3 linked regions of the Canis lupus familiaris genome follow. The protein of the gene in region 1 interacts with the protein of each later gene in a biochemical or structural test. Links are inferred from orthologs where the notes say so. Each region holds a gene or a part of one and is shown on either strand. Other genes may lie near its edges. The genes, in order: CCNE1, CDC25A and ARIH1.

Region 1 (4,338 bases):
TCCCTTCCAGACTGGATGTTCCCAAGTGGGCAGGGATCATTAAAGTCTTACTTTGTTTTAAATGATTTTTTTGAAAAACAATTATTTTTATTTTTGAAATGAACATACACTCAGGAAGGTACATAAATCCTAAATGTAGAGCTCGATGAATTTTTACATACGCAACCACGCATTCAGATCAAAGCAGAACACATGGGAAGTGCCCAGGAGGTTCCCTCGGTCCCCTCCCGGTTATTAACCCCACCCCAGGAGTAACTGCTGGTTTCACACTGTCGCTATAGTTCTGCCTTTTCTGAGACTTCAAATAAATGGAATCACACAGTAATACTTTTCTGTGTCTGGCTTCTCGTGCTCACGGTTACGTCTGTGAGATTTCTTTCTTTTTTTTTTTTTTTTTTTTGTGAGATTTCTTCATGTTGCTGAATGCCCCAGTGGTCTGTCCTTTTTACTGCTGTGCAGTATTCCACTGAATGAATATACCACATTTCTGTGTCGACCATATTGTTGATGAGCGCGTCAGCTAGGAAAAAGAACATCTGGAACTCTCATTCTCGCTAGTGGGACAGTAAGTTGCTACCATCACTAAGGAAAAGTCTGTGTCTATCATCGATAACAATGATATATATTGATATCTGTAATACTAACATATGTTGTATTTATCATTGTCCTATATCTCTCATTTACTAAGCACTGAGTGTGCACCAAGCCCTGTAAGCTGTGTTACCCCAATCCTCATAATCACCCTAAGAAGTAGATAGTTGCCTTCTTTGAAATAGCAGTATGGTAGCAGCAACATGATGGGATTATCATGAAGTTGAACACTCTGACGGACTGAGTCCAAAGCTGACGTTTTGGAAATGCTGTTCGTGGTACCTCTTATTGTTATTACTGAAGGACACCGGGCCAGGAGCTCAGGAGCCTGCATTCATGTCTCCCTGAGATAACCTGAGTGAGTCATCTCAGCAGCCTTCAGCTCCAGGCCCCTGGAAGGCCGACATCTGCTAGCAGGGACTTCCGGGGATGACACAGGGCACACTCTTCAATCAGACCCAGGCTCTCACTTCAAGAAGATCCTTATGCTTGGGGGGGGGGGGGGGGGGGGGGGGCGGAACAGTGCATCAGGAAGGGTCTTGGGAGTGTTTGGGAGCCCTCTGCGACATGGGGACCTGCGACATGGGGACCTGCCGCTTCTGCCAAGTTTAGTTCACAAGGTACTTTCAGGTGATGGTCTCGTTGTCCTGGAAGGTCCACAAGGACTTGGCGGCTGTATGCTTCTCAACAACTCACCCACAGAGATGAGCAAGTGTCTCCCTCCCCCACCCGCACCCCCACCCGCACCCGCACCCCGGGACTCTGCCAAGAGCTGGGGGCTGCAGCCCGGAACTCCCGGGAGGGAGAGGGACAGCGAGCGACCAGGGAAACCCAGGAGCACGAGGCTTCTGGCGGCAAGTTGGGTGAAGGACACACAGCGGGGCAGGAGGTGGAGAGGAAGTGCGGGGGGCGGGGTGCTCCAGACTCCGTGTTCACCGGAGACCCTGAAGTTCTAGGGAGGGAAGAGCAGCCCCGAGGGCGAGTGCGCAGCGCAGGGCAGCTCCCGCCGAGGTGAGGGAGGACGTGGGGGAGGACGTGGGGCAGCGGCTGCGAGGGCACCGGGTGGGGCGGGGGTCCGCGGGCGACGGAGCTCCAGGGGAGCCCTGCAGCCCGGCCCGGGAGCCCGACGGGAGCCACCGGGAGGGCTTTCAGCCAGAGGGGCGGCCCGGGCCCCGAGGCCCCAGCCGCGGAGGTGGCGGGAGGGGCCCACGGGGGAGGCGCCGGGAGGTCAGCTCAACGAGTGGCTGCAGGGCGAATGCGCGCTCGGAAGGGCGGGCGGGCGCGCGCAGGGCAGCCGGCGCCCCACGGACGCCCCGGACCCGCGGCTGCCGGCCCAGGTCGTAGGCCCGCGACCAGGCGCGGTGACCTTGGGCACAGGCCCGCCCCGGCTCCCGGCCCGGAACCCTGCGTCTCGGGGGCGGGGAGGACGTGCCGGGAGGGGCAGCGCGCGCGGCGGGGCGACGGCCGGCGGGACCCCCGCTCCCCGCTCCCCGCCAGCCCCCGCGGCCCGGCCCGCACCCTGCCGCGCGCCGTGTTTACATCCCCGCGGGCCGGCCACGCGGCCTCCCGCCGCCCCCGCCGCCCCCCGAGCCCCGGCCCCGGCCCCGGCCCCGCCCCCCGCCGCGCGCGCGCCAGCCGGCCTCCCGCGTCCCGCGCCGCGCCGCACCTCGCGCCGCGCAGGCCCCGTGGCTTGGCCCCGCCCCGCAGGCCCCGCCCCGCCCCGCAGGCCCCGCCCCGGCCCTCCGGCGCGCAGGCCCAGTCCGCTGGCCCCGCCCTGCAGGCCCCTGCCCCCGCAGGCCCCGCCCCCGCAGGCCCCGCCCCCCCGTCCGTAGCGCCTCTGCCCGTCTGCGCGCGTCGGCGGCCTGCAGGCGGCTTCGGGGCCGGGCCCGGGCACTGGGGCGCGGCCGCTGGAGGGCCCTCGGACCGACCGGGGCGGGGCGGAGGCTGGGCGGGAGGGTGCGAGGGCGGGCCGGGGGCCGGTTTCCGGCGCGCAGGGATTTTTAATGTCGCCGCTCTCGGCCGGGCGCGGAGCAGCCGGATCGGCGCCCGCGCGGTGTAGGGGGCAGCGCGGATCCCGCCCCGCCGCGCGCTCGTCGCCGCTCCCGCCTCCCGCCTCCCGCGCCGCCTCCCGCCGCCCGCCGCCCGCCTGCGGACAGGGCTCGGTGATGGCCGGGCCGTGCTCCGGGGCTCCGTGGGGGGGGGGCGAGCCGGGCCAGGGCGCGGCGGGGTCGCGGGGTGGCTCCGGGCCGGGCCGGGGGGCGGCGGGGCGGGGGGCGGCGGGGCCCCGGGCGCGCGGCGGACCCGGCGCGGCGGGTGACAGGCCCCCCGGGCCCATCGGCCATTTTCCCGGCCGGCCCGAGCCTCCCGCCGCCGCCGCCGCCGCCCGCGCGGGGGGAGGGGTGTCCGGGGCGCGCGGCCGGCCCTGCCCCCCCCCGCGCCCGCGCCCCCGCCCGCGCCCTGACCCCCGCCCGGCTTGTGCCCCCAGGGCCCGAGGTCGGCCCCGCGTGCCGCGCCAGCCATGCCGAGGGAGAGGAGGGAGAGGTGAGTGCCCCGTGGCTGCGCGGCGGGGGGAGGGGAGCCCAGGCTGCCAGCGCCCGCCCTGACCTCGGTGCCACCCGGCGGCCCGCAGGGATGCGCAGGACCGGGACCCCATGAAGGACGACGCTGGCACCGACGTGTCCGTGCGCTCCAGGAAGAGGAAGGCAAATGTGGCCGTTGTGAGTACAAAGGAGACAGGTGGGGGAGGAGACCCCCTCCCGGGCCTTACCTGGCGGGGCTCCCCCCCCCACCCCGGGGGCCCTGCCTCCTTGTACTGATTGGGGTGCCCGCAGCCTAACCACCTTTCTCTCTCTCCTCTCTCTGTGTTTTTTGTCTTTGGGCCGTCTGGTGTGTTTCCTTGGGGGCTGGGGGTCGCCCTCCCTTAGTTTTTGCAGGATCCGGATGAAGAAGTTGCAAAAATTGACAGGACTGCGAGAGGCCAGTGCGGCGGACAGGTAGGTTCACGTGCCCACCGGGCCTGGGCGGAGGGCCTGCTGCGCCTTGTGCTTTAGATGGACGCTCGGTCCCCGCTGCCTCCTGCTGGAGCCGTTCCTCTACCGGGGGCCATGGTGCTCATCCATGGGCCGAGGCCTGGCCGGTCGGTGGCATTGGCCTCGGCCAGCCGTGGGACCCCAGGAAGGCGTTGGGTTCCTCACCCGCACCTCCGAGGTTACAGATAACGCGCTGATGTCCCGAAGAACCAGAGTGGACATCAAATAACTCAGTCCTCTCCTTTTGCCCTTGAGGAAACTCAGACTCAGGGCAAGAAAGTGACCCAGAGTCCTGTGCAAGCCAAGGGCGGAGTCCATCCCGGAGCCCTGTCTCCAGGCGGGGGAACTGGGGGAGGGCTCCTGACACAGAGCTCTCCTGCGACTGTGATGCGGGGGTTTGTGTGTGTCCATAGCGACCCAGATTCTCCCCGTCCCCGCTTCTGTCTTTCGGTCCTGGTGCTAAGGACCTCCCTTCCCCCCACCACACGGTGAGCAGCAGGTATGTAACTTCCCCCCTTCTGGAGGTCCTCAGCCTGTCCTGCAGTTACCTACGGTGATGAGGACTGCCGTCCGGGGCTCTGCCTGGCCTCAGCCAGAGTATCAGTGGAACATTCTCTGTCACGATACCTGTGTCTCAACACATTTTTTAAATTGACTAGTCCATTTCTCTTGTCTCTCCGTCATGGAGTTGCCGCCAAATTTCCTGCGTGCTCGTGAT
Region 2 (3,616 bases), on another chromosome or scaffold:
TGTCCCTCAACACAAGTTTGCCTCTTCTCCCCCATATTTTTTTTTTTTTAAAGCAGAGGTAGTCCCTGGGATGATAAAACCCTACCCAGAATGGCAGTATTATGACTTAAAGAAGCAGTTAAATAAAAGTCTCCAGGAGTTTAAAAAAAAAAAAAAAATTAAAGTGATTGATGAAGTTGAATAAATTAAAGATATGGGTTATCCCACAAAGACCATTCCCTTCCCAGGCTGTCTTTGGTATTTGGCCAGCAGCATCTCTGCTCGTGGACTTCTCTCCCCCCCACCACCCCCCAGAGAACAGCACCCAGGAAGGCCCCAGGTGGTCTGTCCGACGGTGGTGGTGGTGGTGGTAAGTCAGAACTTCTTGAAGTGGTACCCAGAACTGCACTGTGGCAGGCGACAGCCCTGGCAGACAGTCACAAGGCAGAAGGAGAAGGTCTTACAGAGACAGAAGAGGCGTGGCCGGCAGGATGTTCCAGCCCCGCAAGTGCAGCAGTAGGGGTCAGGCGCACAAGCCCCGGGTCCTCTCTCCACATGTCACGCCCGTGGCTGGTCCCTTTGCTCAGGTTTCTCTGCAGCCAAGAGGGAAGGGGGGAGGCACAGAGGGCAGCTCAGGCTGCTGCTGTCTGGCATGGCCACCCTCACAGCTTCTTCAGACGGCTGTACATCTCCCTTTTGCTCTTTTCCCCTGCCCAGGTCCGGCTCTTGGTGCGGAACTTCTTCAGGTCTTCTTTGAAGTCCTCATGGTGCATGGGCCGGTAGCTGGGAGGCTCGCAGTGAGACTGCAGACGACAGAGGATGAGATGAGGGGCCCATGCCTCACGCTCCTAAGCCGGCTCTCCCCCCATCTGGGCCTGCGAGGCTGGGATGCGCAGCAGGGCCTAGGACCCTTCTTTGTGTGAGGCAAATCCCCAGACCCCGAACAAGAGACAGCCACGACAAGCACACGGATCTGCCCATCCAGCCTGGGTGAGGGGTGCACCGTGCTCTCCAGAGACCTTGCCTCACCTGGCATTTCAGGAAGAACTCCTTGTACCCGCCCTTCAGGACATACAGCTCCGGGTAGTGGAGTTTGGGATACTCGTTACCAAGCCGATCTCTCTCTCTCACGTACCGGCACCTAGCAGCGAGGAGGCAGGCCAGAGCAAGGTTAGCTCTCCTAACTTGGGGCAACCCGAACTAACGGTACGGTGAGCACAGCAGTGCCGAGCGAATACTCCTGACACACAACTTCTCACTTTCCCAGTCATTCTTAGAAACCAGCATTGAGCTGTGGGTCCCAGGCCACATGTGGTCTTTAGGAAGAGTTCATAGGGAGATGGATGGTCTCTCCCAAGCTGTCCTTCCTCCAGGTTCAATGGCCCTACTGTCTGGCCCCTGCCCAAGGTCCTCTATGCTACCACCCACACCTCATGTGGAGTGACGGCTCCCCATTGCAATCTCCGCTCACCACACCCTCCAGCTCCTCACCACTAGGGTCCCTCCCTCACTTCCTAACTAAGCCAGCTGCTTTCTTCCTGTGGCTTTTAAATAGGCAGAGCTTGGGATGCCTGGGTGGCTCAGTGGTTGAGTGTCTGCCTTTGGCTCAGGGCATGATCCCAAGGTCCTGGGATCAAGTACCTCAGCGGGCTCCTAATAGGGAGCCTGCTTCTGCCTCTGCCTTTGTGTGTCTCTCATGAATAAATCAAAAATTTAAATAAATAAATAAACAAGCCAGCCAGCCAGCCACCCAGCCGAGCTTGCTCCTGCCTCAAGGCACCTACTTGTACTCCTGCATGGAATACTAAATACTCTCACTAATACCCTCACCTGGCAGTGGCTTCTTACCTACCAACCCTTGGTACAAAAGCCAAAATCCTTACAGTGGCCCCCAACTGGGTACCCTGCCCCTGCCTCCTCCCCCATCAGCCTTTACTCCAGCCACTCTGGCCCCCTTGCTGCTCCTCCAAACTTCCTGGGAGCACCCACCTCTCATCTTATTTGTCTCTGAAATACCTTCTAACACAGAGTAGTTAACATATTATTTATTATATTTGTCTGCTCCTGCCCAGTATGAAATGCAAGCTCCGTGAAGGCAGGGCTTTTTGTTCTCCTACATTTTGCTGTTCTCCACAGTAATCAGAACACTATTTCGCATGTGAGAGGCAATGGGAAGTACCTGTAGAGTGAGTGAACGTTAGTCCTCACCCAAATCCTACCCCTTCATGTGATCACAGTTTTGTGCTTAATGTAGGACAAGTCCTTGTCCTCAGGAGGTTGGTGGGGAGACAAGTTCCTGTTGTAGTTATGTGTGTAATTCTATGTGTGCTAATGCAGCAAAACAGAAGCTGCTGATGAAGTCAGGTGAAGCACATGTGGGCAAATGGCCTTTTTCTTTTCTTAAAGAAAAAAAAGATTATATTTGAGGGACGCCTGGGTAGCTCAGTGGTTGAGCATTTGCCTTCAGCTCAGGACGTGATCCCAGAGTCCCCAGATTGAGTCCCACATCGGGCTTCCTGCAGGGAGCCTGCTTCTCTCTCTGCCTCTCTGTCTCTCATAAATAAAAAAAATAAATAAAATAAAATAAAATTAAATAAATAAATTAAATTAAAAAAAAAAAAGATTATGTTTGAGCAAGAGCATGTGCGAGCAGGGAGGAGGGGCAGCCGAGGGAGGGAAATAATCTCAGGCAGACTCCCCGCTGAGCATGGAGCCCACATAGGGTTCCATCTCACAATTTTAGCATAGTCTGACACTTAATAGACTGAGCCACCCAGGCGCCCCCGTGTGGCCTGACTTTAGAACTGGTTCAAAATGAAAAGTGCACAAGGATCCAGGCCTAGGGGCCCATGAAAAGTCTACCTTGTCCTACCCCAATCAAGGCTGCATTCCACCCTGCCTCAGCCCTCACCCCCGTCTCCAGCTGGCCCTCTGTACTCCCAGCACCTACCATACTAGCCAGAGACAGGGCTGGGCTGGAGAAGGCCTAAAGCCCTTGGCCACAGAAACTGATAGGTCAAGCCTATAAAAAGCCATACTCAAGGAAGCTGTTCATCAAATTGACTGCTTAATAGATAAGGATTTGGGCACACATCTGCTACACATGAATTTGAAATTTCACAAAAGTGAACATTTACAAGTCATGTGCGCAGGCTAAGGCATGGAAATGATTCAGGATGTGGGAGAGGGTGCTTGCTCGGTATACTGAAGTACGCCCTGAGGGTGAGCCATCCATTGCCACATCCCACCAGTCAACGCAGGCCTGAGCCGCAGAGCCCAGTTTCATGCAGTACTCACATGCGAGGGCCTCGCTCAGAAGAGAACTCGCAGTGGAACACGACAATGACACGCTTGCCATCGGTAGGTACAATGGGCTTCTTTAGTAAGAAGTCCTCAACCTCCTCTTCCATGTGCAAGTTCACTGCACCCTGTGAAGGCACCAGAGACTCTTGGAACCTGGGCATAACATACTTGCCAATGATTCTTCTGTGAGAGTCACCTATAATTGGGCACCTCATATTCTGTTATGACTATGGCAGACAGGAGTGGTATTTATGAATTCGGAACTTTTGAAAGCTACTAAGACACTGGCAAATGCTAATGTTGTATTTAATGTACCCTTTTATTGTATTTCAAC
Region 3 (3,646 bases), on another chromosome or scaffold:
AAGAGAAATTGCATATGTATTCTATAGCATCTAAACACCTTCCCTAAGTAGCAGTGTATCTTGATTTCTCACATCTTTGAAAATTGCCCTGAAGAACCATAAACAAATTGATACTTTTTAATGATCACAAATGGGTAATTATTTTAAAGCTTGTCATTAGGATTTTGAAGGTAGAACCAAGACACGGTTCGTGTACTTATAAAACCAGATTTTCAAGGTATCTGTAATCTTGGAAAAACTGCATCTAAAAGCATTACTTGGCAGCACGGATGGCTCAGTGGTTTAGAGCTGCCTTCAGCCCAGGGCATGATCCTGGAAACGAAGGATCGAGTTCCACATCAGGCTCCCTGCATGGAGCCTGCTTCTCCCTCTGCCTGTGTCTCTGCCTCCCCCACCCCCACCCCTGTCTCTATGGATAAATAAATAAAATTAAAATAAAAGCATTACTTTAGAAGACTACTAAATATTGGGGACAGTCTTTTATATGCTTGTGTCTCTGTCTTTGGCCCTTACACTGGGGAAGCAATGTAAATAATTGCTTATTGTAGTAGGAAATATTGCATCATGATATAATTTGCTGTCGGTATTTATTTTCTAATTTGGGTTTCAGTGCAATCGACTGTTAAAGTGGTGTCCTGCCCCAGATTGCCACCATGTTGTTAAAGTCCAATATCCTGATGCTAAACCTGTTCGCTGCAAATGTGGGCGCCAGTTTTGGTAAGCATGTGATTTCCTAAATTGAAATAGTACATAGAAGAATGCAGCTATAATCACATTTTCTTGTGTGCTCCGTTGGAACTAATATGGGAGCAAACTTACAGATACGGGACAAGAGTTTAGTTCTCATTTCTGATGGAGTGCTTATTTTATTATGTTTAGTTCCTCTATGGCTCTTGCTCTGTTTTCAAGTTATCTCTTAGGAAACAAAATACAGAGGATTATTTTTCCTTTGTTCTGAAAAGTTTAATCTTACTCCTAGAAGGAAAATGTGTGGATAAATTTGTAAAGATAGAACATGGTTGATTAGATATACTTTTCAACCAATATTTTCCCTGTGGCTTTACTGGCCCAGCTTTCCTGGTGACCTCCATTGTGGAGTTTATAACATACTCTTCAGTCTTTGAATTCTAGATTTGACTTAATAGAGAATTTCTAGTACTAGAGAATTTCCAGTACCACGTATTTGTATTAGTTAAAATGATTTTCCATTTTCCCTGTGGATCTTTCAGGAATGAGAAACCAATCAAACCAAGTAGCTCTAAGAACTAGCAAACAGACATATTGGTATTTCATATCATTCTTTTTTTCCTCCACAAGCAACTGTAGAATTAGACTTACACATCATTAATACTAAATATTTCCAAAAAGGAGCAGATAACCTTACAGAGATGAAATATGTGTGAAATACATGCTATTTTGGTAAAGATTAAATATACATTACTATTTTAGAGTTTATCCTATGGACAGGAGGTAAAGTCTGATTCTGTATCTACTTTAAAACATTTTTGTATGAAATACCTTGATACAGACCAAAATATAGAAAATAACAGCAGTGAATACTTATATAGCTACAAACCCACCCAGCTAAGACAATGTTAGTATCTTGTTTTCGTTAAGAAATAAAACATGACACATTCATTTGAAGCTCCTTTGTTCCCTTTTCCATCCCACTCCCTATCTTCTTTTCCAGAAGTAACCATTATCCTTGACTTCACTTAATTTGATAGTACTTTGTTCCCCCCATTATCCTTGACTTCACTTGATAGTACTTTGTTCCCCTCATTTGCAAAGGATTTTTGCCATTCTTGAATTACTTAGCTAATCAGCCATTCAGCAATTATTTTTTTCATAAACATTTGTATTTATTCTTAATTTATACTTTCTTAAATGTATATAGCATGCTTCTAGAATACAGAAAGGAATTAACAATTAATATATTCTTAGGAAATATTTAGTCACACTCTTGTTTTATACCTTGCTTGGTACAATTTATAGGACTGAGGTTAATTTGTTTGGATCATGCAAATGTGACCTGTTTGCTTCTCAAATATTGCTCACTGTGCATTAGCATTAAATTACGTAATTACAAAGTCAGACCTTTTCTCTTCATTTGGGGTGTTAAATAAGAGATTTAATATATTCTAATAAAGCATTGATTGAAATTTAAGTTCAAATTAGTGAAAATTATTTGGTTTCAATTAATGAATGTTTACAGCACAAAACTATACATATGTAAAATGATCAGAAAAATACAGATCTGGGGATCCCTGGGTGGTGCAGCGGTTTAGCGCCTGCCTTTGGCCCAGGGCGCGATCCTGGAGACCGGGGATCGAATCCCACGTCAGGCTCCCTGCGTGGAGCCTGCTTCTCCCTCTGCCTATGTCTCTGCCTCTCTCTCTCTCTCTCTCTCTCTCTCTCTCTGTGACTATCATGAATAAATAAATAAAATCTTAAAAAAAAATACAGATCTGATTAAACTGAATTTTTTGTCTTTACAGTTTGGTGGCTATTTAGAGAGTCTTTATAAAATTATCATCATAGCATGTCTTCATGCCTATAATCATTTCTTCATTTCACACAGACACACAACGATAATGGTATCCTAACACTAAATTCTAAATAATCTGTGGTGGAATAATAAAAACTTGACTCCTGCCCTTGTATTTGCCAGTCACTAGAAACTATGAAACCACTGAGAAACTATAAAACATGAAATGATTTGTTTACTACGTACAGTAGGTAGGACTTAATTCTTTTAACTCTTGTGTTACTTAACAGCTTTAACTGTGGAGAAAATTGGCACGATCCTGTTAAATGTAAGGTGAGTTTATCTGGCATTTTCTTTTTTAAATAACGTAATAAAACACTTCTGAGACTTGATGACTGAAAACCAGGGCCCACAGTTTTGTTATCCACTTGTAGATAGAAGATTGTGTTTTTCCTTTTTATTTCAGATGATCATCTGAATTTTTGAAATTTTTGAAATTTCATTCCATAGGAATAAGTCCGATCCTAATGATTATCAGGATAACAGTGGTTAAGGAACCTCTCTGGGCAGGCTTTGTAATTAGCTCAGGGGAAATGGCACATCTTGGAGCTCTGGGTTCCCACTTGGCTCCAGAGAAAGTCTTCCTTTGGTTGATTTTATATATACTGGATATGAGAACTATAGGGTTCCCTTGGTTTATAAGGAAGTAAATCCAGTGATAATCTTGTCCTTTGCCTTTTACATTTAAGCTTGACTGTATTTAAATGTTGAAGTAATTTACTATCCTTATGTTGAAGTAATTTACTATCCTTTTTCTTAAGTCTTTTGTTGTACCCTAACAGTTGTTGTTTTCAAACAGTGGTTAAAGAAGTGGATTAAAAAGTGTGATGATGATAGTGAAACCTCTAATTGGATTGCAGCCAACACAAAGGTTGGTATTTTCCTTCAGTAAACTCTTTCCTTTTTTAGGGAAACTGTGATAAGAATAGGTGCATCAGCATTAGCAAAACAAGTAAGCTTACATAGTTTAGGACTTTGTTTTACCTTTACCTCAGTTAACATTTGGGGGGTTTTGGGTTGTTTGGGGAGTTTGGAGTTTTCTTTGTTTTGCTCCCCCTGAATGCCTTTTTTTTATTTTTTTTATTTTTTAGTGTTCAA

What was found.
Region 2: the proteins of CCNE1 (region 1) and CDC25A form a complex in vitro, tested with the Homo sapiens proteins (2 studies listed by BioGRID). The link is inferred for Canis lupus familiaris from reciprocal best matches to the Homo sapiens genes CCNE1 and CDC25A.
Region 3: of the proteins of CCNE1 (region 1) and ARIH1, one has a biochemical effect on the other in vitro, tested with the Homo sapiens proteins (3 studies listed by BioGRID). The link is inferred for Canis lupus familiaris from reciprocal best matches to the Homo sapiens genes CCNE1 and ARIH1.

Annotation. Positions count from the first base shown.
Region 1 is NC_049222.1:122,576,737-122,581,074, reverse strand, and holds the start of CCNE1 (G1/S-specific cyclin-E1), read left to right. Parts: upstream 1-1,529; 5' UTR 1,530-1,602; intron 1,603-2,736; exon of another isoform or gene 2,737-2,753; intron 2,754-3,076; 5' UTR 3,077-3,109; coding exon 3,110-3,132; intron 3,133-3,220; coding exon 3,221-3,308; intron 3,309-3,515; coding exon 3,516-3,584; intron 3,585-4,338. UniProt on the Homo sapiens protein: Essential for the control of the cell cycle at the G1/S (start) transition.
Region 2 is NC_049241.1:41,252,426-41,256,041, reverse strand, and holds the end of CDC25A (M-phase inducer phosphatase 1), read right to left. Parts: intron 3,408-3,616; coding exon 3,277-3,407; intron 1,121-3,276; coding exon 1,009-1,120; intron 783-1,008; coding exon 642-782; downstream 1-641. UniProt on the Homo sapiens protein: Tyrosine protein phosphatase which functions as a dosage-dependent inducer of mitotic progression. Directly dephosphorylates CDK1 and stimulates its kinase activity. Also dephosphorylates CDK2 in complex with cyclin-E, in vitro.
Region 3 is NC_049251.1:36,458,409-36,462,054, forward strand, and holds part of ARIH1 (E3 ubiquitin-protein ligase ARIH1), read left to right. Parts: intron 1-610; coding exon 611-717; intron 718-2,778; coding exon 2,779-2,821; intron 2,822-3,347; coding exon 3,348-3,419; intron 3,420-3,646. UniProt on the Homo sapiens protein: E3 ubiquitin-protein ligase, which catalyzes ubiquitination of target proteins together with ubiquitin-conjugating enzyme E2 UBE2L3.